Notamacropus eugenii: one gene and its partners. The protein of the gene in region 2 binds, or shares a complex with, the protein of the main gene of each other region. Links are inferred from orthologs where the notes say so. Each region holds a gene or a part of one and is shown on either strand. Other genes may lie near its edges.

Evidence for each region.
Region 1: RBM15B (region 2) and CBLL1 share a complex: the UniProt entries of both Homo sapiens proteins name them as parts of the WMM complex. The link is inferred for Notamacropus eugenii from reciprocal best matches to the Homo sapiens genes RBM15B and CBLL1.
Region 3: RBM15B (region 2) and METTL14 share a complex: the UniProt entries of both Homo sapiens proteins name them as parts of the WMM complex. The link is inferred for Notamacropus eugenii from reciprocal best matches to the Homo sapiens genes RBM15B and METTL14.

Annotation. Positions count from the first base shown.
Region 1 is NC_092874.1:147,685,519-147,693,462, reverse strand, and holds the start of CBLL1 (E3 ubiquitin-protein ligase Hakai), read left to right. Parts: upstream 1-4,933; 5' UTR 4,934-5,009; coding exon 5,010-5,022; intron 5,023-7,944. UniProt on the Homo sapiens protein: E3 ubiquitin-protein ligase that mediates ubiquitination of several tyrosine-phosphorylated Src substrates, including CDH1, CTTN and DOK1. Targets CDH1 for endocytosis and degradation.
Region 2 is NC_092872.1:3,418,321-3,425,556, forward strand, and holds the start of RBM15B (putative RNA-binding protein 15B), read right to left. Parts: upstream 2,922-7,236; 5' UTR 2,887-2,921; coding exon of another isoform or gene 2,878-2,886; coding exon 82-2,877; 3' UTR 1-81. Other genes in the region: uncharacterized protein, read left to right, coding at 2,876-2,886, 2,922-3,449, 3,836-4,088. UniProt on the Homo sapiens protein: RNA-binding protein that acts as a key regulator of N6-methyladenosine (m6A) methylation of RNAs, thereby regulating different processes, such as alternative splicing of mRNAs and X chromosome inactivation mediated by Xist RNA.
Region 3 is NC_092878.1:165,436,002-165,443,688, reverse strand, and holds the start of METTL14 (N(6)-adenosine-methyltransferase non-catalytic subunit METTL14), read left to right. Parts: upstream 1-4,676; 5' UTR 4,677-4,860; coding exon 4,861-4,926; intron 4,927-5,299; exon of another isoform or gene 5,300-7,266; intron 7,267-7,687. UniProt on the Homo sapiens protein: The METTL3-METTL14 heterodimer forms a N6-methyltransferase complex that methylates adenosine residues at the N(6) position of some mRNAs and regulates the circadian clock, differentiation of embryonic stem cells and cortical neurogenesis.

The sequences.
Region 1 (7,944 bases), on a different chromosome or scaffold from region 2:
TAATATTAAAAGAGACCTTTTAATATTTTCTGGATTCTTTTCCACATTAGGTGTGGCCCCAAATTCTACCAGTGACAATAATGAATCAATTAATTAAACAATCAAATTAAGATGTCAACAATTAATCCCTAAAATAACAAAACGATTTAAATCTTTTTTTTTTTTTTTATGTCTAAAAAGCTACCAAGAGGGCTAGGAGGCTTTTTGCTAAGCACCTACTATTTAATGTGCCTTGATCTTGGTCAGTGAGTTTTTTCTTTTTAAATTGATTTCTTCTGTAGTACTATATAGAAAGTACTGGATGCTCAGAATGTAAACAAAAATGAAAAACAGTCTTTGCCTGTTAAGTAACATACAGTCTCCTGGGAGAAAACAGCACATACAAAACAGGCATCTCTAAGATCATTTGAAGTGAAGGACAGCCCTAAACAGCCAGGCAGGACAACAAAGACTTCCTCTAGGAGGTGGTACCTTTGAAGGAAGCTAAGGAGTCAAACAGGCAAGGGGAGGAAAGGTATGCATTCCAGGCACAGGGCAAGACATACTGTTTGAAGAAGAAACAGCTAGCACTCCAGATTAGCTGGAACATTGACTGCTAGAGAAAAAACAAACCAAAAAACCCCAACCAAATCCCAAAATAACAACCAAATACTTATAAAGAACATTTGTGAGTCTTTCACACAAAATCCAGATAACTAAATCAAGAAATTACTGTTTTCTACCTCTACATCCCAGAAGAAACTGCTTTAGTTTTGTGAACACGTTCATTTGCAAGATATCATCATAAACTTCTCCAAACAATATTTTATATTGCTACGTTTTATGTAGTACTGTTGACTGAAGTTTTGTGAGAAAAGGGGATAGAACAAGGGAAAAAGAACATAAAGGACAAAAGGAACTTCCCACAGAACTAAACTTATTGAAATAAGGAAAAGATGTCCATTTTGAAATCACTTGTCTTTTTGAAGACTGAGGCTTTGATACGGTGAGAGTCCTTTATATACTATTTATGTATTTCTACAATGTCTCCCTTTTGACAGGTCCCTCTACAATCAATAAGTATTTCTTAATCATCTACTATATACCAGTCACATGCTTGAGGTAGACAACCCCCTAACTCATCAATGGGTTTGAAAATCCTTGGTTATCCTCAACCTAGTTTGGCCGTTCTGCCAAAATGGTTTACCAGGGTGTGGCCGCTGCGCATACTGCAGCTTCTTGGAGCCACAGGTGAGAGCTGGGTGGAACAGGTGAACACCAAAGGTAGAAAGAGTCCCCAAAAGTGCTCAGCAGCCATCACACCAAGGGTACTAGTCCTCCCTGAACATACCCTACATGTGAAGACTTCCAACGGCCATGAAGGCAGCTGAAGCAGGTGATGTGGAGCCCTTAGAGCTTGGTTAGATACTGAAGACACCAAGGTCATCCATGGCATCCTAAGTCATTGCCAGCCATCTTGACTCTGTCCTGCCACTGAACTATGATGACTGAGGGATAGAGTGAGGCTGACAACTTTGTGCAACTCTGCCTCACTTAAATCCAATTTTCGCATGAATGAAAATACAGTATTGGTCTGATCAGCCACAGTCAGACACACTGAAACTTCATTTTTATCATGGTGATGTCATTTTTGTCCTCTTTGAAAACGAAGGACAACAGCCAACCAACCAACTATATACCAGTCACTGTAATAAGTTCTGGGGATACAAAGAAGGCAAAAGATAATCTCTGCTCTCAGGGAGTTGGCAGTAGAATGCAGGAGATGGCATAGTATGTACAAACAAGCTCTATATTGAATAAATTGGATATAATCAACAGAAGGAAGGCTCTTAAGGGAGATCAGAAAAGGATCCTTGTAGAAAGTAGGATTTTGGCTCTGACTTGAAGCAGATGCCTTAAGACAAAGACATAAGCAATCCCTCTGAGTACACTAAGTGGTTGGTTGGAGACAAGGAAGGAGAGCATTGTAGGTACAGGGGAAAGCCAGTGAAAATACTCAGTGCTCTTTCAAAAAACAAGCAGATAGGCCAGTGGGAGTGGCTAACAAAGTATGTGGAAGTGAGGAAAGGGTAAGAATACTAGAAAGATAAGGGAAGACAGGTGAACAGCTCTGAATGACAAACAGGATTTTATATTTGATCCTGGGTGACAGGAAGCTACTGGAATTTACTGAACAGAAGATGACGTCAAACTTTCCCTTCCCTATTTCATCACTGTTATCTCAATGTGCACTGCATTTTTATATACTCTGAGATCCATTCTCAGAAATGCTTATTAAATATCTTCATCATTTGGTCTCCTATTCTCAAACTTGCAAAGCATATGATGAAGCCTCTTATGCTACTCCTACAAAAAAAACATAAAAATGTGAACTAGATAACAGTGCAGGTAGATTTGGAGTTGACTGAATGGCTAGACCTAAAAGCTAGATTTGATGTGCCTACAGAATAGCAGGTGATTAATATATTTTTTTTTTATCAATGCCTTCTCTGGGATCCAGGATCTACTTGGTTCTGTGAAGTTTAACATAGAACCAAAGATTTAGAATTGGAAGGGAACTTAGAAGTAATCCAGTTCAACACCTTCATTGTACAGTTGGGAATACCGAGATTCTCTCCCTCCCTCCTCCCTAAAGAGTTTAAATAACTTGATCAGGAACACAGATGTTAAGTGGCAATTTAATTCTAGGGACTCTTTCCACTATACCACAATGATAAAGATTTGGTACTATCACTAAATTTACACATGACACAAAACTAGCCGGCAATACTTAGCATCCTGGATTGTCATGATTTAAAAATATCTTGACAGGCTAGAACACTGAACCAAGTCTAAAAAGTTTTCATGGGCATTCAATCCATTCAATTCCAATCCACATTTATTAAACACTTAATTCATGCCAGGGACTTTACAAAGAGCCCGATACAATAATTAAAAAAAAAAATCCCTGCTCTCAAGGAGTTCACAATCCAACTCGGCAATTGGGGGGGTTAGGGGAAGAGAGACCAAGGGGGTTCCCCAGTTCAGGGCCACCTTGGTCCCTGGAGTTGAAACCAGGCACAGCAGCAGATGAAGAGTGGAGTGTGCAAAAGTCCAGTAATAACTATAAAGTGGTACTCTTCCTTGGGTTCAGTGGAAAAAGCACCAGTTTTGGAGTCAGAGGAGAGATCAAATTCTACCTATGTGAACTTTCCACAAATCACATAATCCCACATAATCACATAAATGAGTTTCCTCATTTGTAAAATGAAGAGGCTCAGAGATCATCTTTAGCAGGGGCAGGGAACCTGCATTGGGAAACCAAACTGTTCTTGGATTCAGTCAAAGGGCTGTACTTGAGGACCTTGAGGGCCTCTGTGGCCTCGCCGCTGTAGGTTCTCCACCCCTAATCTTTAGGGTTCTTTTTAATTGATTGATCCCACAACACATTCCTATTATCTTTAGGAAAGGCAGAAACCGACCATTAAAATGTTTAGGTATATGTCCATTTTAAGTTTAAGGAAAAAAAATACCTGGAAGAAGTTGAATTTGAGCCGTTATCATTGTGCATATACTCTTCCAGGTTTGCACTTTGATTACTGATTTTTCACAATTAACAAATTTGTGCAGTAAAATAGATCATAAAATGCAGGGATTATAACCAGCTACAATAAATAATGCTACACACAAATATCTGAGTATTGTTTGTTTATACGTGCCTCCCTCCAACTAAGCTTCTGATTACATATCCATAAAGAAACTTAGAAAAAATAAGGTCTGTGAGGCTGGGACCTAGTTCACTGCTTTAAGACTGCTAAAGAGCTCTTTTGACTGAGATTGGTAATCCCCACACAATCCAGAGAAGCCAAGAATTCTGGCTATTGCTATTACTGTAACTTAACTGCACAGTAAGTAAAACACATCATCCTTCCTAGGGGAGGTAGGATCTTGGACGGAACTTAAAGCAAGCCAGGAAGGTCAGAAGGCATGGGCATGGGAGGGGGAGGGGAGGACAGCCAGAGACAACAATGCCCAGAGTCAAGAGATAGAGGGAATCGTTAGAAGAGTCAAAATAGGTGCAAAACGATTATTTTGCGGGATGCTTACGGGATGTCTGCAGATTGTAAAGCACTTGAGAACCATCAGGTTAAAGCACAGGGATAGGGACGTGGGTATTGGGGGAGGGGGCGAGGCTGAAGCCAACTCCTTCTGGGACCTCAGAAGGCGTCCCAGCACCTTCCCCAGAAACGAACAACTGGATAAACTTCTTTTTAAAACTTTCATATAGTTAAACGACGGGGGGCGGGCACGGGGTCTTCAGCGCATGCCTCGGGAGCCCCACAAACCAAGTCAAAAACACAACACGGAACAAAAGCGCACCGGTCCTAGCTCCCCGCCTCGATCTCCGCACGCAGCCTCTGGGACCCTCGGAGCTGGCGGCCGTCCAACCACGCCTTTCCCCAGACTCCGCTCGAGCTTTCCGCCGCCTGCAGGGACGAACGCGGAGACCTCAGCAACCCCAACGGTTGAGCCTGCGCACCGAGAACAACCAGTCGCTGGAGGGAAGTGCGGGTGGGAGAGAAGGCTGGAGGCCCGAGGGAGGGTGTTGTCCAGGGCAAACTACAAGTCCCAGGAGGCTAGGCTGCGCGAGGTCGGAGGAGCCGCGGGGCCTGTCGGAAGTTGAAGTACTTCGACCAGGAAATACCGCCCCCGCCCATCCCCCATCCGCTCTCTCCCGCCAAAGGGAGAAGCGGTTTGATCTGTGAAGATGGCTCTTCCTTCTTGTACCTAGGGAATCGCTCCGGCGGCCCCTTCTGCCATGAAGCTGTCTCCTTGCGCTCCCATTTTCCTTATCTTTTTTTCCCTCGTCCCATTCCAAACTGCTCCGAACTTTCTTCGTCCCTGAACCCCGGCAAAAGCCACCTTCATCTCATTTCCGCTGACTGAGCTCGGTCGGGTCGTCGCGCACGCGCCCGTGGTGACTGGGGCGACGCTGACTTCCGCTCCCAGAGTGCACCTCGAGCCGAATCATGGACCACACTGGTAAGGAGGTGGAGGGGGGGGGTCTCGTTTACATGGACCCCTCGGCCGGCCCGAGACCCGCCGTCGCCCGGCTGGCGTAGCGGAACCGGGCTCGTCCTGAGGGGATGGGTTGCAGTGGCGAGGGAGGATCTCTACATACTCCTCTTCCCTCCCTTCCTCCCTCCCGGCCGTGCCCAGCTGGGGCCTGATAGACCTCTCGGCCTACACCCCTTCTTTACATCCCCTCCCCCGCTCCGCGCTGCAGCCTCGGCGCCGTGTCGGTCCAGAGTGGGACCCCGGGGCTGCGTGGGGGGCGCTGGGTTCCCCCCGAGGCCTCCTTCCTTTCCGTCTTCGGCGTTTGGCGGCTTGTGCCGGCCGGGGCTATTTCCCGGCCAGTGTAGGGCTTTGGGGAAGGGAGGGGACCTTGGGGAGCCCAACCCTGGCTTTGTGGGAGTAGAGCCACGGGGCTAGACGTCCCCGTGGCTTCCTCCTCCCTCGCAGCCGCCCAGAGCTTCGTTGTCGTCGGTGCCCGTGCGTGTGGTAGCTAGGCTGAAGGAGCCGGATATGATCTCGAGCTCCCCTTCAGCGCAGTCTTTGTGTAAAGTCCCGACCAGACCCTTCTGTCTTCCCCGAACCTCGGCTTTTGGGCTGTGTGCGGTTGGGAGCTTCCTCATTTTGGACTCTGCGCTAACCAACAACCCCTTCCTCTCTCCAGCCGCGGCCCCTTGGTGAGCCAGGCTTTTTGTTTTCTGGGGCGCTTTGTGAGCAGTGCTAGTAGGGTGTCTGTAGTCCGTGAAGTAAAATACCGTGCACTTACTACGAAGTCGTGTCCGTTTCTCTGGGACCCCCTGGACCCAGCGCGTCCGGACTGCCCGTGGGGTTTTCCGGGCACAGATTCGGGAGTGGTTTGCCGCTTCAGGTGAAATGACTCCCCAGGGTGTGTCCGAGGCCGGATTTGAACTCGGGTCTTCCTTACTCCTGGCCCATCTGTCTACCCACTGAGCCACCTGTCTGCTTCGACTGCTAAAGTACTGATAAAGCTGAAGTCTTGGACTTCGTAACAGAGAAGTGCCCCCCACCCCCACCCCCCAGAGAGTAGCAGAATTTTTGCATTCGACGTTGGAAGTGAGATATTTATTTGGAGGCTTGTGTGTGTTTTAGGTGAACCTAGTATTTTTAAATGGACCCTGAGAAAAGTGAAAGAACAGTCACGGATTGTTTTCTTATCGCAAGTTCTGCGCTCCGTGTAGGGCTATTTCAAAGGAAACTTGGTGCTTGTAGTGCAGTAGAATGTGAGCTCCTTGAGGGCAGGGACCCCGTTCTTAATTTTGTTGTTAGTTTGTTGGTTTCTCCAAATGTGCCTGGTAGGTAGGAAGCATGGAAGAAATGCTTGTTGACTTACTGACTTACAGTGAGAAGTGTACCCTATTTGTATATTGTAAAACCCTAGTTTTAGAAAACATGGGTACATATATCGTCTAGTAAATGTTGTATTTATGAGAACGACTTAAGACACAGAAGGGCAGTTGAGTAAAGAACAGGCTTTACCAGCTGCAGCTGTAACCCCAGTTGTGTAGTGTACAAAGACCTGCTAGTAGAGGCTTTTCAGCTTCATACAAAACTAAAACTATGGGCAGTATTCAGTTCAGGTAGGGAGAGGTAACAGTAATGCATACTATTATTAGAAAAACATAATTTTGACTTTCTAGCAAAGTTAGAGGTGAGGTTTTATGCCAGGAAAGAACCAAACTGAAAAGTCACTGGCCAACAATTCTCTTTACCTGGCTGCTCTTTTGGAAGTTTTTAAATGCCTTCGCTAGGAAAAGTAACAAAAATGAAAAGTGAAAGTGAAATAAGTTGATTTGGTTGAACTTTTAATGAAAGGTGTTCGGTGAAATGGGAGGAAACTTTGGGCCATTAGCGATCTTTTGATGTGTTTGATGCTATTTTTCTCTCTTACCCTTGTTATTCTTGTCACCCTTGTTATTCTTGTCCCCATCTTATATTAAAATCATGGCTTGTTACAAAATAGTTGTTATAAAATAATGCTAAGAAACTGGTAATGAAAAATATTTTGGATTATTTTGTTGCCATTTTACCTCTTGGAATTCTTACCATAAACATTTCCTGATCTTCCCAATTGTTGATACTTCCCTTCTCCTACCCAAAATCACTTTGTATTTACTTATCTATGTATGTTATAAATGCTGTATAATAAAAAGCATTTTAATAAATACCTGTGGATTGGTTATTGATTAATGTTGTACCCCTTGTTCCCTTTCCATAAAGGCAGGGAGTTTTCATTTATGTTTTTGTTTTTGTGTTCATAGTTCCTAGCGTATAGCAGGCATTTAGTAAATGCTTCTTGAAGTGCATTGTTTAAGGTTCAGTTTTGAATCTCCCCCCAACAAACAATCATAGATTCCTGTTGATCAAAAGAATGAATTGTAGGATTGAACATGAGTCTTTAATGATGAGAAACCTAGAAATAGGTCTCGAAGTTCAAGTCCAACTTAATACCTTCAAGCAGGCTTTACCTAAATACATTCTGAACAATTCTAGTTAGATGTCCTAAAAATTTTCAGACAGCACAGTAACTTACTGAAGTGCTTAACAAAAGTAACTGAAAAAAATCATTTTAATTAACTGAAATTTGGCTTAGTTAGTAAAAAGTAACATCTTTTCCTGTAATTGGGAAGTCATGCCTCAGCCTTAAACAGTTTTTTCTGGGGAATAATATTTGTGTTAGGCATTTAGAAATGCATAATCTCTCTTTGCAATCCATGTGTTTTGGAAGTGAGGCATTTTGTTCTTTTTACAGTACTGAGCTTTACAGGTAACTGGGTAAATATGTGATTTACGGGGCTTGGAAAGCATGTTTTGGTCTAAGACTTAGTTGACTTCATAGCAACATTATACTTCTCTTAATGTTTTTTGGGTGAA
Region 2 (7,236 bases):
AACCAAGAGCAGAATTGGCTTTAAAAATAACTGTTTTCATGACACAAAGAAAACACAAGACTGGGAAAAGCCAGGTTTTGGCTAGGCAGTGTCTCTTACTATAACTATCACCATATGCTCCTCTTCTAACTTCCCCAATGTCCTCAGAGCAGACTGGAGGTACTGCTGGGAGAATTCACAGGGAGGGAAGGCATAGAGCATGCCAGTGTTGTCTCTGCCCTTGGTCCCTCCCACTGGCAAGCTGATCACCCCAGCAGCCTGCTTCTGTTTCAAGTATGAGACCAGATTCCTGAGAAGCCTCCGCTGCAAACCCGGCTCCACAGTGTGGGTCCCCTCTGCTCCAGGCCCTCCTGGAGAAGCCTGAGTGGCCAGAAGCACCACATAACCATTGGGGCTTCCCTGCTTGATTCTCCGAGTGACCTCATCCAGTTTGGGCTGGTCAAGTCGAAGTCTTTGGGCAATCTTGAGCTGTGTCAGCTTGCTCCCTGAAGCATGGTCTTTGAGGAGGCCGCTGATTACTCCCAGGTCCCCCTCTAGAATGTGCATACAAGTGGGGAAGCAACTGTTTTTCAACACCAAAAGCCCGTTCCAGCCCAGCTGCAGGGTCTGAGCGTACTCAGACAGAGTCTTGAGCTTTTTGGTCTCGGGTTTTGGCTCTTCCATGGGCTTCGCTTCTACCTCGGTTCGATGATTGCGTTCGCTGTCTCTCTTTCTCACCTGGTGAGCGTCGGGGCCTCTCTCTTCGGCCCCGTGCCGGTTGTTGGGCAGGGAGTTGCTGGGCTCCTTCTCTGCCCCCGACTCACCCGTGTGATTTTCTCTCCGGAGCCTCTCGGGGCTTCGGTCTGAGGGCAGCCCGCTGACTTTGGTTCTGCCTCTCTCCTCATAAGGTGAGTGGGCAGTCCGTCCGTGGTCACTGGACAAGCTCCTCCTCTTTCGCCTTTCTTCCCAGGGCTTCGACAGGCCCCGGTCCCCATCGCTGCCCCATCTCTCCCCACTGCGGCTGCGCACAGAACGGCTGTAGCTTTCCAGGCTATTTCTGCGGTCGGTGCTTTTGGAGGGACTGGCCCAGTCGCCCTCCACAAAAGTCCTGTCCCGGTCTGAGTAGAGAAGGTGAGGGGGAGTCCTATCTCGGACCCTCAGGTCGGCCTCCAAATTTCGGTGCCTGGTGTAGCCCTCAGGGAGCAATTCATAGTGCACCGGGAGCGGCGTCGCCTGGCACTGTTGGGGGTATCTGGTCTCCTCAGCTTTGGCAAAATCCACCCTGAGCCTCCTCTCCGGCCCCCCCAAGGGAAAGCCCCTCATTTGGACGCAGGCAGCCTGGGCCGCATCCAGGCTCTCATACTGGATGTAGGCAAAGCTGTCTCCTTTGACGTGGTCAATAGTCCGAATGCTTCCGAAGCGGTCAAACTCCCGGGCCAGGGCGGCCAGAGAGGTGTTGGGCCCCAGGCCTCCGACCCACAGGCGGGTGGTGGGGTTGGCCTTGCCGTAGCCGATCTTGATAGGGTTGCGGCCCACCACCCGCCCCGACATGGCCACCTTGGCCCGGTGGGCCATGTCCAGGTTCTGGAACTTGAGGAAGGCGTAGGCCCCGCCCTGGCCGCGGGCCGGCCTCTTGATCACCACCTCCTCGATGATGCCGTACTTCTCGAAGGCCCGGCGCAGCTCCACCTCGGACACGCCGTGGTCCAGGTTGCCGATGAACAGGTTGCGGGTGGCCCGCTGGTCGTCCTCGGGCATCAGGTCCTCCTCACACACGGCCGGGTAGCCGTAGGGCCGGCCCCGGTCGTCGTACAGCCCGTAGTAGTCCAGGGCCCGGTCCCGGGACAGGCCCACGGCGGCGGCGGCCGCGGCGGCGTCCAGGGCGAAGGCGGCGGCGGCTGCCGCGTGCCGGGCCCGGGGCTCCCGCAGCGGGGGCGCGCCCACGGGGGACAGCGAGCGCTGCTTGTACTGGTAGCCCCCGTGCAGGGGCAGGTAGCCCAGCGGGTCGGCGGGCGCGGGCGGCCCGGGCGGCGGCGTGCCGGCGGCCCCCGCGCTGCTGCTGCTGCGCCGGCTGCTCCCGCCGCCGCCGCCTCGCAGGTACACGGGCTCCACCTTGAGCGGCCGGTCGTAGAGCAGCAGCTGGCGGGCGCGGGCGTGGTGCCGGGCATCGCGGGCGTCCTGCGGGTGCCGGAAGTTCACGTAGGCCACGCGGCCCAGCTCGGGCGTGTGCGACAGGCGCAGGCTGATCTCGCCGAAGCGCTTGAACTGGTGGAACAGGCGGTCCTCCAGGTGCTCGGCCGGCAGCGCGGGGCTCAGGCTGCTGATGAGCAGCGTCTTGTACTCGGGCGGCGGCGGCGGCGGTGGCGGGGCGGGCGCGGGCGGCGGCGGGGCGGGCGCCGGCGCGGGGGGCTCGGGCAGCGGCGGCAGCAGCAGCAGCGGGGACGCCCCCGGGGACGAGGCGGACGCCGAGCCGGGCTCGGCCTTGGCGCGGCCGCCGCCGCCCCCCGAGCGGCCTCCGCCGCCCGCGCGGTGGTTGGAGTCTCCGGAGCCTCGGCCCTCGCGGTGGCCGCCGCCGGAGCCGGAGCCGCCGCCGCGGGGCTTGTCGCGGGCGCGGGCCGGGGCCTGGTGCTTGGCGGGCCCCGAGGCGGAGGCGGAGCCGGAGCTGGAGCTCTTGTGCGCGGCCCGCCGACCCCCGCCGCCGCTGCCGCAGTCGGGCTCCCCGCGCTCCCGCTCGCGCTCGCCGCGCTCCCGCTCCCCGCGCTCGCCCCGCTCCCGCTCCCGCTCCCCGCGCTCCCGATCCCGATCCCGTTCCCGCTCCCGGGGCCGCTTCGCCGACGATGACGACGACGACGCCCCGCGGGCCCCCGGGCTCGAGTCGCGCTCGCTCTGCCGCTTCATGGCGCCGAGGCCGGCCGGGCCTGGCCGGGCCCCCTCCCTCACAGCGCGACGGGGCAGCGGCGCGGGGGCAGCGGCGGCGGGGCCGGGGCCGGAGCAGGAGCAGGAGGAGGAGGCAGCGCCCCCCGGGCCGCCATCTTGGACAAAAGGACTGAGCGCGGCGGCCGCGAAAAGGCGGGGGAGGAAGGGGAGGGGACGGGACGGGGACAGCGCGGCTACGTCATCAAGGCGCGCGGCTCGGCGGCCGGCGCGGGGGGCAGCCTGGCGCACGTCCGACGGGACGGCCCCCCGCCCTTACGTCACTTCCCCCGCCCTCCCGGGCTCGGACGCCGTCGCATTGGACTGGAGCGCGGGCTTTGGCGCCACCTGCCGGCCGAGGGTGAACCCAGCGGCCCGGCGCGGCTTGGGCGCCGGCGGTCACCTCGGCCGCGAGTGAGCCCCGCCGGTGCTGAGGGCGGCCAGGCGCGTCACCAGCGTGGTCGGACGGGTCGTGGTCGGGCCGTGTGGCGGCCCGTGGGGTTCTCTTGGCAGAGGTACCAGCTCATTGTACAGATGAGGAAGCGGAGGCAGACAGGGTGAGGGGACGTGCCGGGGTCCTACAGTCGGAGTCTTCCCGACCCCGTCTCCGCTGCCTCGGTCTTACACCGTGATCTTTGGGGGTCCGGACGGCCGGAGGGGGGAGGGGAGGGGCCCCCCGATCCGCGGCCCGGCCGGGGCACCGGGGGTGCCCGGAGGCGGAGGGGCTGGCCACGCCGCGGGGTCGGACCGCGGCTGTCCCTTGGGGGAGGGGGCGAGGTGCGGGGGAGGCCCCGGGCCCGTGGTCCCGCCCGCACGCTGCGGCCCCGCTCTCACGGCCGGAGCCGGGCCGGGGCGGTCCGACGGGCGCGGGCGCTGAAGCCTGTCCCGCACGCAGCAGGCGCGTTTCCACCCACTTCCTTCAACTTTTTTTTGTTGCCTGTAGGCATCCTAGGGGCAGCCGGGTGGTGCGGTGGGCAGAGCACCACAGCAGGGGGCAGGAGGACCCGAGGCCAGAGCTCACCTCAGACACGACGCTCACTAGCTGTGAGCCCATGGGCAAGTCACTTACCCCAACTGCCTCCGCCTGGGTCACCTCCAGCCATCCTGATGAGTATCTGGTCCCTGGACCCAGGTGGCTCTGGGGGAGAAGTGAGGTTGGTGACCCGCACAGCCCTCCCTCACTCAACACAAGGTGAAGTGCCAGTCCCGTCATCCCTTCTCTGCTGGCACCGTAGAGGTCCTGAGATCATGAATGGGTTCGTGCTTTGAGGAACGTTGGAGTGCCAGGCCAGAGGGAGAGTGCTCAGTCTAAGCTCATCCCTCACATCTCTCTAGTCTATAAAAAGCCTGAACCTAAGAGGTCACGGAAGTCATCCTTACATGTTATAAACGTTAATGGAATCCACCGAGGTCACACAGCTTGGCACAACTTGCGCTCTGAGCCAGTACTGCCAACGTGGCGTATGGTGATTAATTCCTAAATTTATTTTGAGTGGGAGGGTGGCCTCGGAGGGGCAGAGGCAAATGTGTTGAAATATAAATGTTGGGTTACGCTGAGGATGGCTCAAGGACAGGATAGGAGCTGACGGAGGATTTCTAACAGCTACGGGTGCTTGCAGGCATGAGCTCCACCCCTGCCCATCCGCTGGGCTACCTGAGGAGACAGTTTCCTGAGAACTGATGGAGACTCTAGTGGTAAGGTTTTTCACCCTTTTAGATGAGTTATTAAGAGCGATAACAAGAGGCAGCATGAAGACCCAGAACAGCCTCCCACCCCTCTGGCCCTCCCCCCCCCACGATGAGGGGCTTGACTTCGATCTCCAGAACATCTTACAGCACCAGAATTCTGCCAGTTCACTTTCTCCTCTGCATGCTTAGGTCAGAGGGCAAACTTCAGGTTCAGACCCTGCCTTAGAATCGTACAAATGCGTGGCTCTTCAACATGAATACTTTAATCTTATGCCAGGATCCTTAGGTAACAATATTTGTTGTTCAGTTGCTCCCATCATGTCCAGCTCTTCATGACACTTTGGCCATTTCCTTCAGTTTTACAGATGAGGAAACGGAGGTAAACAGACTCAAGTGACTTACCCAACGTTACACAGCTAGTAGGTGTCTCAGTCTGAATTCAGTCTTCCTGACTCCAGGCCAGGGGCTCTATCCACTGCACCACAAGGCTACAAACCTGTCATTTGTCTCATTTGTACATAGGTTATACCAAGATTCCTTTGAAAGGGACACTTTTTGTGCACTTTATTAAAAAGTTGTCTATATGCTATAGTAGGAAAGGTATATTGCAAAAGGTAAGTTGCAGAGATGGTCTTTGTAACTTTGTCATCACTTCCCGTCCCTTGCAGCACCTGCATATACAGTAGGAAGTGTTACCAAAGCTAGTAATAGCCCAGAGATGTCTTTTAATGGCTCGATTCAAGCCAGTTAGAAGCTAGTACTCAAGGCGGAACAACCAATTTGTCTCCAAAGCCTTTCTCAACCTAAGCTCCCAATCACTGGGAGAACATGGAATGGAAAGCAAAGATGATTCACTTTGTCACAAGGGTCACAAACTTCCCCTAGGAAACGAGTCACTCTTTGAAGCAGTAGAAATAGGAACAAATATCAGTAACGTAAAGAAGAAAAAACACTTCCCTTCCAGGCTTTTTGTTAACAGCATCAGTAATGGAGTTTTCTCTCTTAGTGGCTGCACTGTCTGGGGTTGACCCTGGGAGCCCCTCATTTTATCCAGAGGGACATTCACTGGAAGGTGTGGAAATCTTGGCATCGTCTCCTTCAGGAGAGAAAATGAAGCGGACAGCATGGAAGACAGCATGGACTAACCCACTTACACACTGGCCATGAACCAGTTTGGCTGACACGACCAAGGAAGAATTCATGGAAAAGATTCAGGGCTACAAATCATCTAGAAAGAAAACCCCAACTGTAATATCCATATCCAACTTTGTGGAGGTTTTCAAAGCAGCAAACTGGAGAGGACATGACTACATCCCACCATCTTCTTACCTGTGAGTGAGCAAGAGGGGCTGGGGGCCTGCAGTTGGAAGCAGGGGAACATGGGTTTATAATGGGGGTTTCTCAGTATGTCAAAGAGAAGGGGGGGCATTGATTCTGAAGACTCCTGCTTGTACATGGCCAAGAAAAGAATCTAAGTACAAGGCAGAATTATCTGTTGCCAACAATGCTGGCTTAGCTACTTAAATTTCCTTCAAGTGCTGAGAGAACCCTCCAAGATGTTGTGTCTACTGTGGGACCCATCGTTGTGGCCATCAATGCTGTACCTGATGGCTTCTGACTTCTACAGCTCAGGGCCTTACTAAATGACTCCTACTGCTATGGGTCACCAGTCCTGATGATGGGATATAGCTTTGAAGATGAGGTCGAGTCCAACAAACCTTGGGTTTTCAAGAATTGGGGGGATACATGGCTGGACACCCCAACTGTGTATTCTGCTTAGGCCATCAATCCTCTAATGTGAGCTGTCACTGTCAGAAGAGGAGTCAGTGACACATGTTTTAGAACCTGGCTTATGCAAGTCCTAAAACTCCTATGGGACTCTTTAAATCTCACTTTTTTTGTGCTATATTATTATCAGAGAAGAAGGGGATCATTTCCAATACTGCCTCATATTGGACTCACAAGGCAAAAAAAAATTCCCAGGTCAGATTTTTAGTCTCTAATGCTCCCATGGAGTATGTGGCTTTACATACAGAGTGAAAGGGCAAAATGATTCTGGACATCAAGAAACTTGCAGGCAGGGAAAGAATTCACCCTGCAGATCAGAGTATGCTCGTTGTCTGCTTCCTGGCTCTCAGCAAATTTGATCATGGCAAATTAGTGGTTAAGTTCAATGGCCAAGCACAGATCTCTGGGGTCACTCCACTAAAGATTTCCTCCCAAGTTTACATAAAAATATTAGTAATTCCAACTGCAGTATCATCTAGCACATATTTCTGTTTTGTCCATAAGAATCACTTGAAAGATTTTTGGCCAAAGTTTTGTTGAAATCTTTTTGTTATATATTACCCTATATTTACCCCAATTAACCAGTCTGGTAAACTCCCATCAAAAAAAGAAAGGGGGCTAGTTTGGCATGACCTGTTATTGAGGAAACCATGTTGTTTCTTTGTGATCCCTACTTCCATTTCTGGATGTTCACCAAGCATTTAAAATTATTCTAATGGCAATATTTAGCAATTTGTTCTAGAATTTTTCCAGGGACTAAAGTCAAACTTACTGGCCTGTGGTCTGCAGACTACATTCTCTTTCATTTTTTGAAAACTAGGACACTGCCTTTCCCCAATACTGTTGTACTTGTCTAGCTTCCCCAGA
Region 3 (7,687 bases), on a different chromosome or scaffold from region 2:
CAGCAGCAGCAACATCCATTTTTGGAGCCCTTGGCCTAAAGAACCTGGGGGAATCCACTGATCTGGATCTCAGCCCTGAGTGGCAGTCCTGGGGTGAGGATGAGCACTGGCTGGTAGAGCTGGTGGAGGCTCTGGACAGAGAATTCTACTCACACATCCTGGGCAGAAAAGCTTGGGGTTGCTCCCAGACCAGAGCACAGGCCAGGAGAGAAGTAAACTCCTCTCCTTTAATTGTGCCACCTTGGAGGAACTGAGAATTTACAGGTCCCTAGAGTATACCCTCCACTTGACAAGCACTCAGAAGTCAAGTAACTGACTGGGAAAATGCCCAGAAAAGGGAAAAAAAAATAAGATTATAGAAGGTTACTTTCTTGGTGAACAGGTATTTTCTTCCATCCTTTTGGATGAGGAAGAACAATGCATACTATCAGAGGAAGACATAAGAGTTAAGGTTTCTGCATCCAAAACCTCCAAAATAAATATGCAATGGATAGAATTGCGTGGTGATTCTATCAGGCCATGGAAGAGTTCAAAAAGGATTTTGGAAATCAAGTAAGAGAGGCAGAGGAAAAATTGGGAAGAGAAATGAGAAAAATGCAAGAAAATCATGAAAAGTGAGTCAACAGTTTGCTTAAGGAGACCCAGGAAAATGCTGAAGAAAATAACACCTTTAAAAATAGACTAACTCAGATGGCAAAAGAGGTTCAAAAAGCCAATGAGGAGAAGAATGTTTTAAAAAGCAGAATTAGCCAAATGGAAAAGGAGGTTCAAAAGCTCACTGAAGAAGATAGTTCTTTAAAAATCAGAATGGAGCAAATGGAAGCTAAAGACTTTATGAGAAGCTAAGAAATTATAAAACAAAATCAAAGAAAATGAAAAAATAGAAGACAATGTGAAATATCTCATTGGAAAAACTACTGACTGAAAAATAGATCCAGGAGAGACAATTTAAAAATTATGGGACTACCTGAAAGCCATGATCAAAAAAAGAGCCTAGACATCATCTTTCATGAAATTATCAGGGAAAACTGCCCTGATATTCTAGAACCAGAGGGTAAGATAAATGTTGAAAGAATCCACGAGTCATCTTCTAAAAGAAATCCAAAAAGGAAAACTCCTAGGAATATTGTAGCCAAATTCCAGAGTTTCCAGGTCAAGGAGAAAATATTGCAAGCAACCAGAAAGAAACAGTTTGAGTGCTGTGGAAATACAATCAGGATAACACAAGATCTAGTAGCTTCTACCTTCAGGGACTGAAGGGTTTGGAATGTGATATTCCAGAAGTCAAAGGAACTAGGATTAAAACCAAGAATCACCTACCCAGCAAAACTGAGTATAATGCTTCAGGGGAAAAAATAGTCATTCAATGAAATAGAGGATTTTCAAGCATGTTTGATGAAAAGACCAGAGCTGAATAGAAAATCTGACTTTCAAACACAAGAATGAAGAGAAACATGAAAAGGTAAACAGGAAAGAGAAATCATAAGGGACTTACCAAAGTTGAACTGTTTACATTCCTAAAAGGAAAGATAATATTTGTAACTCTTAAAACTTTCTTCAGTATTTAGGTAGTTGTAGGGATTGTACACACACACACACACACACACACACACACATATAGACAGAGGGCACAGGGTGAGTTGAATGGGAAGGGGTGATATCTAAAAAAATAAAATTAAGGGGTGAGAGAGGAATATATTGAGAGGAAAAAGGAAGAAATGGAATGAGGTAAATTATCTCTCATAAAAAAGGTAAGAAAAAGCTTTTTTTATAGAGGGGAAAAGTGGGGAGATGAGAGGCAAAAAGTGAAACTTACTCTCATCACATTTGGCTTAAGGAGGGAACAACATACACATTCAATTTGGTATGAAAAATCTATCTTACGCTACAGGAAAGTAGGGGAGAACGGGATAAGTGGGATGGGAGGGATGATAGAAGGGAGGGCAAATGGGAGGAGGAAATAATTAGAAGTAAGCACTTTAGGGGAGGGACAAGGTCAAAAGAGAGAACAGAATAAGTGGGGGACAGGATAAGCCAGAGGGAAATAGTTAGTCTTTCACAACATGACTATTATGGAAGTTCAGGACTATACATGTATGGCCTATCTTGACCTGCTTGCCTTCTCAGTGGGGATAGGAGGGAGGAAGGGAGAGAAGTTGGAACTCAAAGTTTTAGGAACAAATGTTGAGAATTGTTTTTGCATGCAACTGGAAAGTAAGAAATACAGATAATGGGATACAGAAATCTATCTTGCCCTACAAGAAAAGAGAGAAGATGGGGATAAGGCAAGGGAGGAGTGTGATAGAAGGGAGCGCAGGTTGGGGAAAGGGGTAATCAGAATTCATGGTGTTTTGGAGTGGAGTGAGAGGAGAGATAGGGAGAAAATTTGGAACTCAAAATCTTGTGGAAATGAATGTTGAAAACTAAAAATAAATAAATAAATTTTTTAAAAAAGGGAAGCTGCCAGACTTCAATCTCAGCTAGAGCTTCTGGCTTAGTTTCTATCATCTACCACTCTCCACCTTGATTTACTGACACCCTAAAATAGTCCCTTCTCCACATTCTCTTGCTGCCCTCAGTCCCTGCTCAGGTACCCTCTTTCTTTGTTTTTCCTTTGTACACTAACTGAAATTTGGGTCCTCTCCCAACCCCTTCCACATTTAATACTGTTGCCAGAATAGTCTTTCTTACCCTAACATGGTGCTTGGCTATCCTAATTGGAAACTAGCTCTCCCAGAGCATTATTTCCAGACTGCGTTAGCTCCTGGAGACCTTGGAAATCAAACCCTTATCAGAGGTATTTGATGCAAACATTTTTCTAGTGTCCTATTTTCTCAGTTGAACAGATTTGGTCAATGCAAAGGTTTTTCAACCTAATATAATGAAAATGATCTTTGTACGTGTGATTTCTGGTTAAGAATTCTCTTGCTTGCTGTAGCTGTGAAAGCTTCCTAATCTTGTTCTTTTTTCATTTTTTTTTTATGGTATGACCTTGAATCTTCAGGTCATGTAGCCATGTTGAGTTTATTATGCTATACAGTGTACCCGAGTTAGACCATTTTGGGGGAGGTTAAATTGCTTTTCGGTTTTCCTAGTATTTCTTGCCAAAAACGAAATCCTCCCCACAAGTAACTCATGCCTTTGGTTGTATCAAACACTAGGCTATTGACTTCAGTTGTGTCTGATTCTTCCTTATGGAGCCTGTTCCACGGGTTGACTTCTCTATTTCTTCATTAGCATCAAATTGCTTTGATGGTCATTGCTCTGGTAGAATATGAAATCTTAAATTCTCCATTCCTACTTTTTTCTTTGTCAGTATCCCCTTGACCTTTCAAGCCTATTGTCCTTCTAAATAAATACGATTTTATTTACCTCTATGAAGTGTTCGCTGATCAGTCTGTTATAGCCCCCAACCTCTAGACTGATTAGAACGGTATAGTCATGTTTATTATATTGGCCCCGTCCAACCATGGGTAATACACGCCCATCCAATCACTCTTCTCTTTAAAGAGTGCTGTAATTAATACACATCTGGAGTGTGCCTTGATTCTCGGGCTTCCTCTTGCCGTTGTTACTGCTGTGTAGACGCGCTGTGCAGATTCCAAGAAGGGAGAGGAGCGTCCATGCCCTGAATGGGGGACAAGGGGGGAAGATGGGGCACGGAGCAAGCCTCCGAAATGCCACCTGGAGTCTGCGTGTCTGGGGAATTAAGAGCCGCTCGGAGCTAGGCACAGGACGGTGCCCCCACAAGAAGACATCCAGAAGGAAGAGCACGTGCGAGGAGAGGCGGAGGCAGAGTCCGAGCTGCCGGGTGCGAGGCGAGACCTTGCAGGCAGTGTAGACACACGGGTCTTTCCTTCACTTAAATTCGGTTAAGTCGGCATCCACTGAACCAGCATTACGGACAAGGACAAGTGACCTCCGCTCCTCAAGGCTGTTCCTCCTCTGTAAAATGAGGCTGGGTCCCGCGGCCCTGCGCACTCTAAGTCCGCGGTCTTCGATGGTCAGCAGACTGGCCGCCCACAGTCCTGCCCAGGCTGCCTCCGGACCGCCCAGGCATTCTTCAGGTTCCCTCTGAGACGATCTCTGACCTCAAGGTCTGCCCAAACTGCACACGCGGCGTCTGCCCCGCGTGTAGCACCGAGCCGGCAGCGGGCGTTTCTCATTTTGGGGCGCTGTCGTGTTCCCCGCTTAGCACGGCGCCTGGGGTGCAAGGGGCACCGTGGGGGAGGGGGGCCGGCCCGACGCAGTGATAACCGGGGGGACCCGGAAAGGGGCTCCGAGGCTCCGGGCTGGGCGTCCGTCAGGGGCGGGTGCTCCCGGCAGACACAGAAAGCGGATCCGGAGGGGAAACTGAGGCCCGGAGGGATGGACGGACCCGCTCCGGGTCAGGCGGCCGGCGAGTGCCCGCACCGGGCCTCAGCGGAGAGGACGGGGCTGCAGGTAAAGGCCTGGCAGCTCGGACGGCACGCGGGACCCTGGAATGACCGGCGCTGAGCCCCAGGACCGAGGGCACGGGTCCGAGCCTGCGGCGGGCCCAGGCAGCGCAGCCCCGCGGGGCGCGCCCCCGAGCGAAGCGGGCACGCGGAGAGGGAGGGGCGGGGGAGATCCGCGCTCCGGCCACGCCTCCTGACCAGTGACGTCACGCCACCGCGCACGCCCCAGCGCCGGCGAGGTCGTGGGGAGGAGGCGGGACTTCCTGGACCGGAAGCGACGAGCCGGGGAGCGTGGAGTCGAGCGGGTCGTTGGGGCCGGTCCTCGGAGGGGACGCGGGCCGGGAAAGGCTCAGCCTCGGGGAACCGCCTGTCGCCGAGGGAGGCCCTCGCCCTCCTGCCCTGTGAGAATAGCGGCGGCCGGGACATGGACAGCCGCCTCCAGGAGATCCGGGAGCGGCAGAAGCTGCGCCGGCAACTCCTAGCCCAGCAGGTGAGCTCCGGGGCGGGGGCTCGGGGCTGTGCTGCCCGTACACGCGGCCGCCCCGCGCATGCTCGCTCTGCGCATGCCCGTCCCGCCCATGTCCGCCTCCTGTCTCGCCGCGCATGCCCGTCCCTCAGGCCCCCCTCCTCTCCCCGGCGCGCATGCTCGCTCTGCGCATGCCCGCCCCGCTCAGGCCCGCCCCCTGTCCTCGGCCGCTCTGCGCATGCCCGCTCCCTCTCTCGCCGCGCGCGCCCGCCCCGCTCAGGCCCGCCCCCTGTCCTAGGCTCCTCTGCGCATGCCCGCTCCCTCTCTCGCCGCGCGCGCCCGCCCCGCTCTCCCGGGCCCCGCCCCTCGGTCCCCTCCTGTTCCTGTTGGCCGCCCTGCTCCGGTGGCCGAGGTCCGGCGTTGTCCCCTCGGGCCCTGCTGGCCGCCCCTGCCTCCAGGAAGCCCTGGTGATCTAGCCTCAGTTTACGCCCCTGTCAGTGAGGGGCGAGTTAGCCCTGGTGGAAGTGCGGGCCTCGGGTCGCAGAGACAGCGGCCTGCTGGGAAGGGCGGGCCCCGCCTCGGGCTGGGAAGTGGGGGTGCCGGCGCCGAGCCCCCCGCGCGCCAGGGAGGGCGGGGGCGGGGAGGAGGCTCGCCCAGGCCCTGCCGGCCCGCCGGGGTCCGGGGCGGGTTCGAGCTCGGGTCTCCCGTCCCCCGGCCGGCGGCACCCCGCCGGGCTCAGCACGGAGCCTCGGCCACCCGAAGGAGCCGGGTCTCGGGCCCCTCCCCCCAGCGCGGACTCTGTTAGGGCCATTTGTTGAGCTTTTCGTTTTTAGGGTTCTTTGCAGGCCCCGGATTCCCTGCCCCCCAGGGCCCCCCGCTGTGCTCGCCCCTCCGCTCCCTCCCGGGACCCCGGACGGAAAGCCTGGCCCCAGGTGGGGCCACGGGTGGGAGCCCTTCCTCCTGCCGTGGGCTCTCCCCCGGTCTCGGGGGCGGTGGAGATCCTGCCCTGCCCGCTGGCCCTGGCATGTGCCCCTGAAGAAGCCCCCCGGGCGGCCGTGCCCCCGCTCTCTTCCCCCGCCCCTCCCCTCCCCGCTGGGCCTTGGGCACCGCCTCCTGGCTGCCCCGCTCCTGCCCTGGCTTGGCCCTGCCATCCGGGCCCTCAGGACTCTGCCCTGGCCCTGCGGGTGCTCTCCTCTGACTGTCCTCAGCTCTCACGGCCTCTGCACGTTCTGGTGCCTCTTGGCCCCCCGCTGTGCTCACCCGGGCTTCAGCTTCCCCCCTTGGGGGGTGTCGTCTGCCTCCTCGAGAGCCGAGGCCGGCCTTTGCTTTTGGTCAGTGTCCCCAGCACTCAGCACCCTCCTGAATGTGCCCTGGTTCAGAGTCCAGCCTGGCACGTAGTGTGCTGACTTAGTGTCCGCTCCCCCTCTGAGGGGGCTGTCACCCCTGAGCAGTCGGGCTACCCCCGCCCAAGGCTGGGTGCCCGCTCCTGGCCCAGCCCGCTGTCTACCCTGGCTTGCGGACAGCTCTTCTCCCCTCATGGCTCCAGGCTTGGCTGCCTCTTGCCAGGCGTGAGGCAAGAGCCAGCTTCCTCTCATCTGCCAGTGGGCTTTTTCTAGAGTGGTCAGACCTGGTCACTGCTCAGCGAGCTCCGAGCTTTAGATTCTTTGTGCCCCTGTCCCTTCCTGCCTTCCCAGTCTGACTGCACCTTACTGCCCTCCTGCACCTCTGCCATCCCTGGGCGTTGGCCTCGAGCACACCCTCTGGCGGCTTCTGCTCCGCATCTTTGGGCCAGCGTCCCCCAGGCTGCTGGGCTCTGCCTCCTGGTCTCTGCTGCCTTCTTTCCCAGCTTCGCTCCAGGCCGAGTACCTTCTGCAGGAAGCTTTTCCTGATGCCCTCAGCTGCTAACGGCTTCCCCAGTGACATTTACCCATCATCTCCGTTGGAGCACACCCAGGGCTGGTTTTTGCCTTTCTTTGTCTTCCCAGCCCTTCGCACAGTGCCAGGCACATAGCAGACCCTATTGAATGGACCGATAGCAGATGCTGACTTATCTGATCATTCTCTGGCACTGGTTAAAGAGAAGTTTAATTAGTCACTATCCATGATCCTGGTGACCACTGACCAGAGTCCTCAGCTGCGTGCTGTTAGAACGTATAGTGATGAGGGATGGGAGACCCAGGGCTCCTTTCTCTTCTCCTCAGCCTGTATGACCTTGGCCAGGTCCCTCCCCTTCTCTGGGCTCCAGTGTTCTCATCTCTTAAATGAGTGAGTTGAGTTTGATGATGTCTGCACATCTGCCCAGCTTTGAAATCTGCTGCTGGGATCTGCAGCTCGGCCTCAGAAGCCCATCAGCTGGTAGGCCAGGTTTGTAATCAGCTCATGGATGACGTCTACACTGCAGCACCCTTGTACCTTGCTTTCACTCCTCTGAACTAACCACATTTACATGGGACACCTTTTCACTAGGATTGACTGCATAAAGCTGTTTGCCATCGAACATGCCATTCTTTACAGAAAGAGCCTTGGAATCCCGTTGATCGTCCTTCATTAGGTGCTGAATCTGCCCTGGTTCAGAGTCCAGCCTGACATTCTGTTGGGTCTCGGTCCCTGGCTTCAATAGGTCTCTGGCACAGGACCATGTTTACTCTAGAAAATGACTGACTGGGGGATGCCCAAGGAGAGGAAACTGGGGGCTTAGGGCTGGAGGGACCTCAGGGGCATCTGGTTCAGCCTCTGCCTTCCCCAGAAAAGAGGCAGCAGACCTGAGATGGGGTAGCTTGTCCAA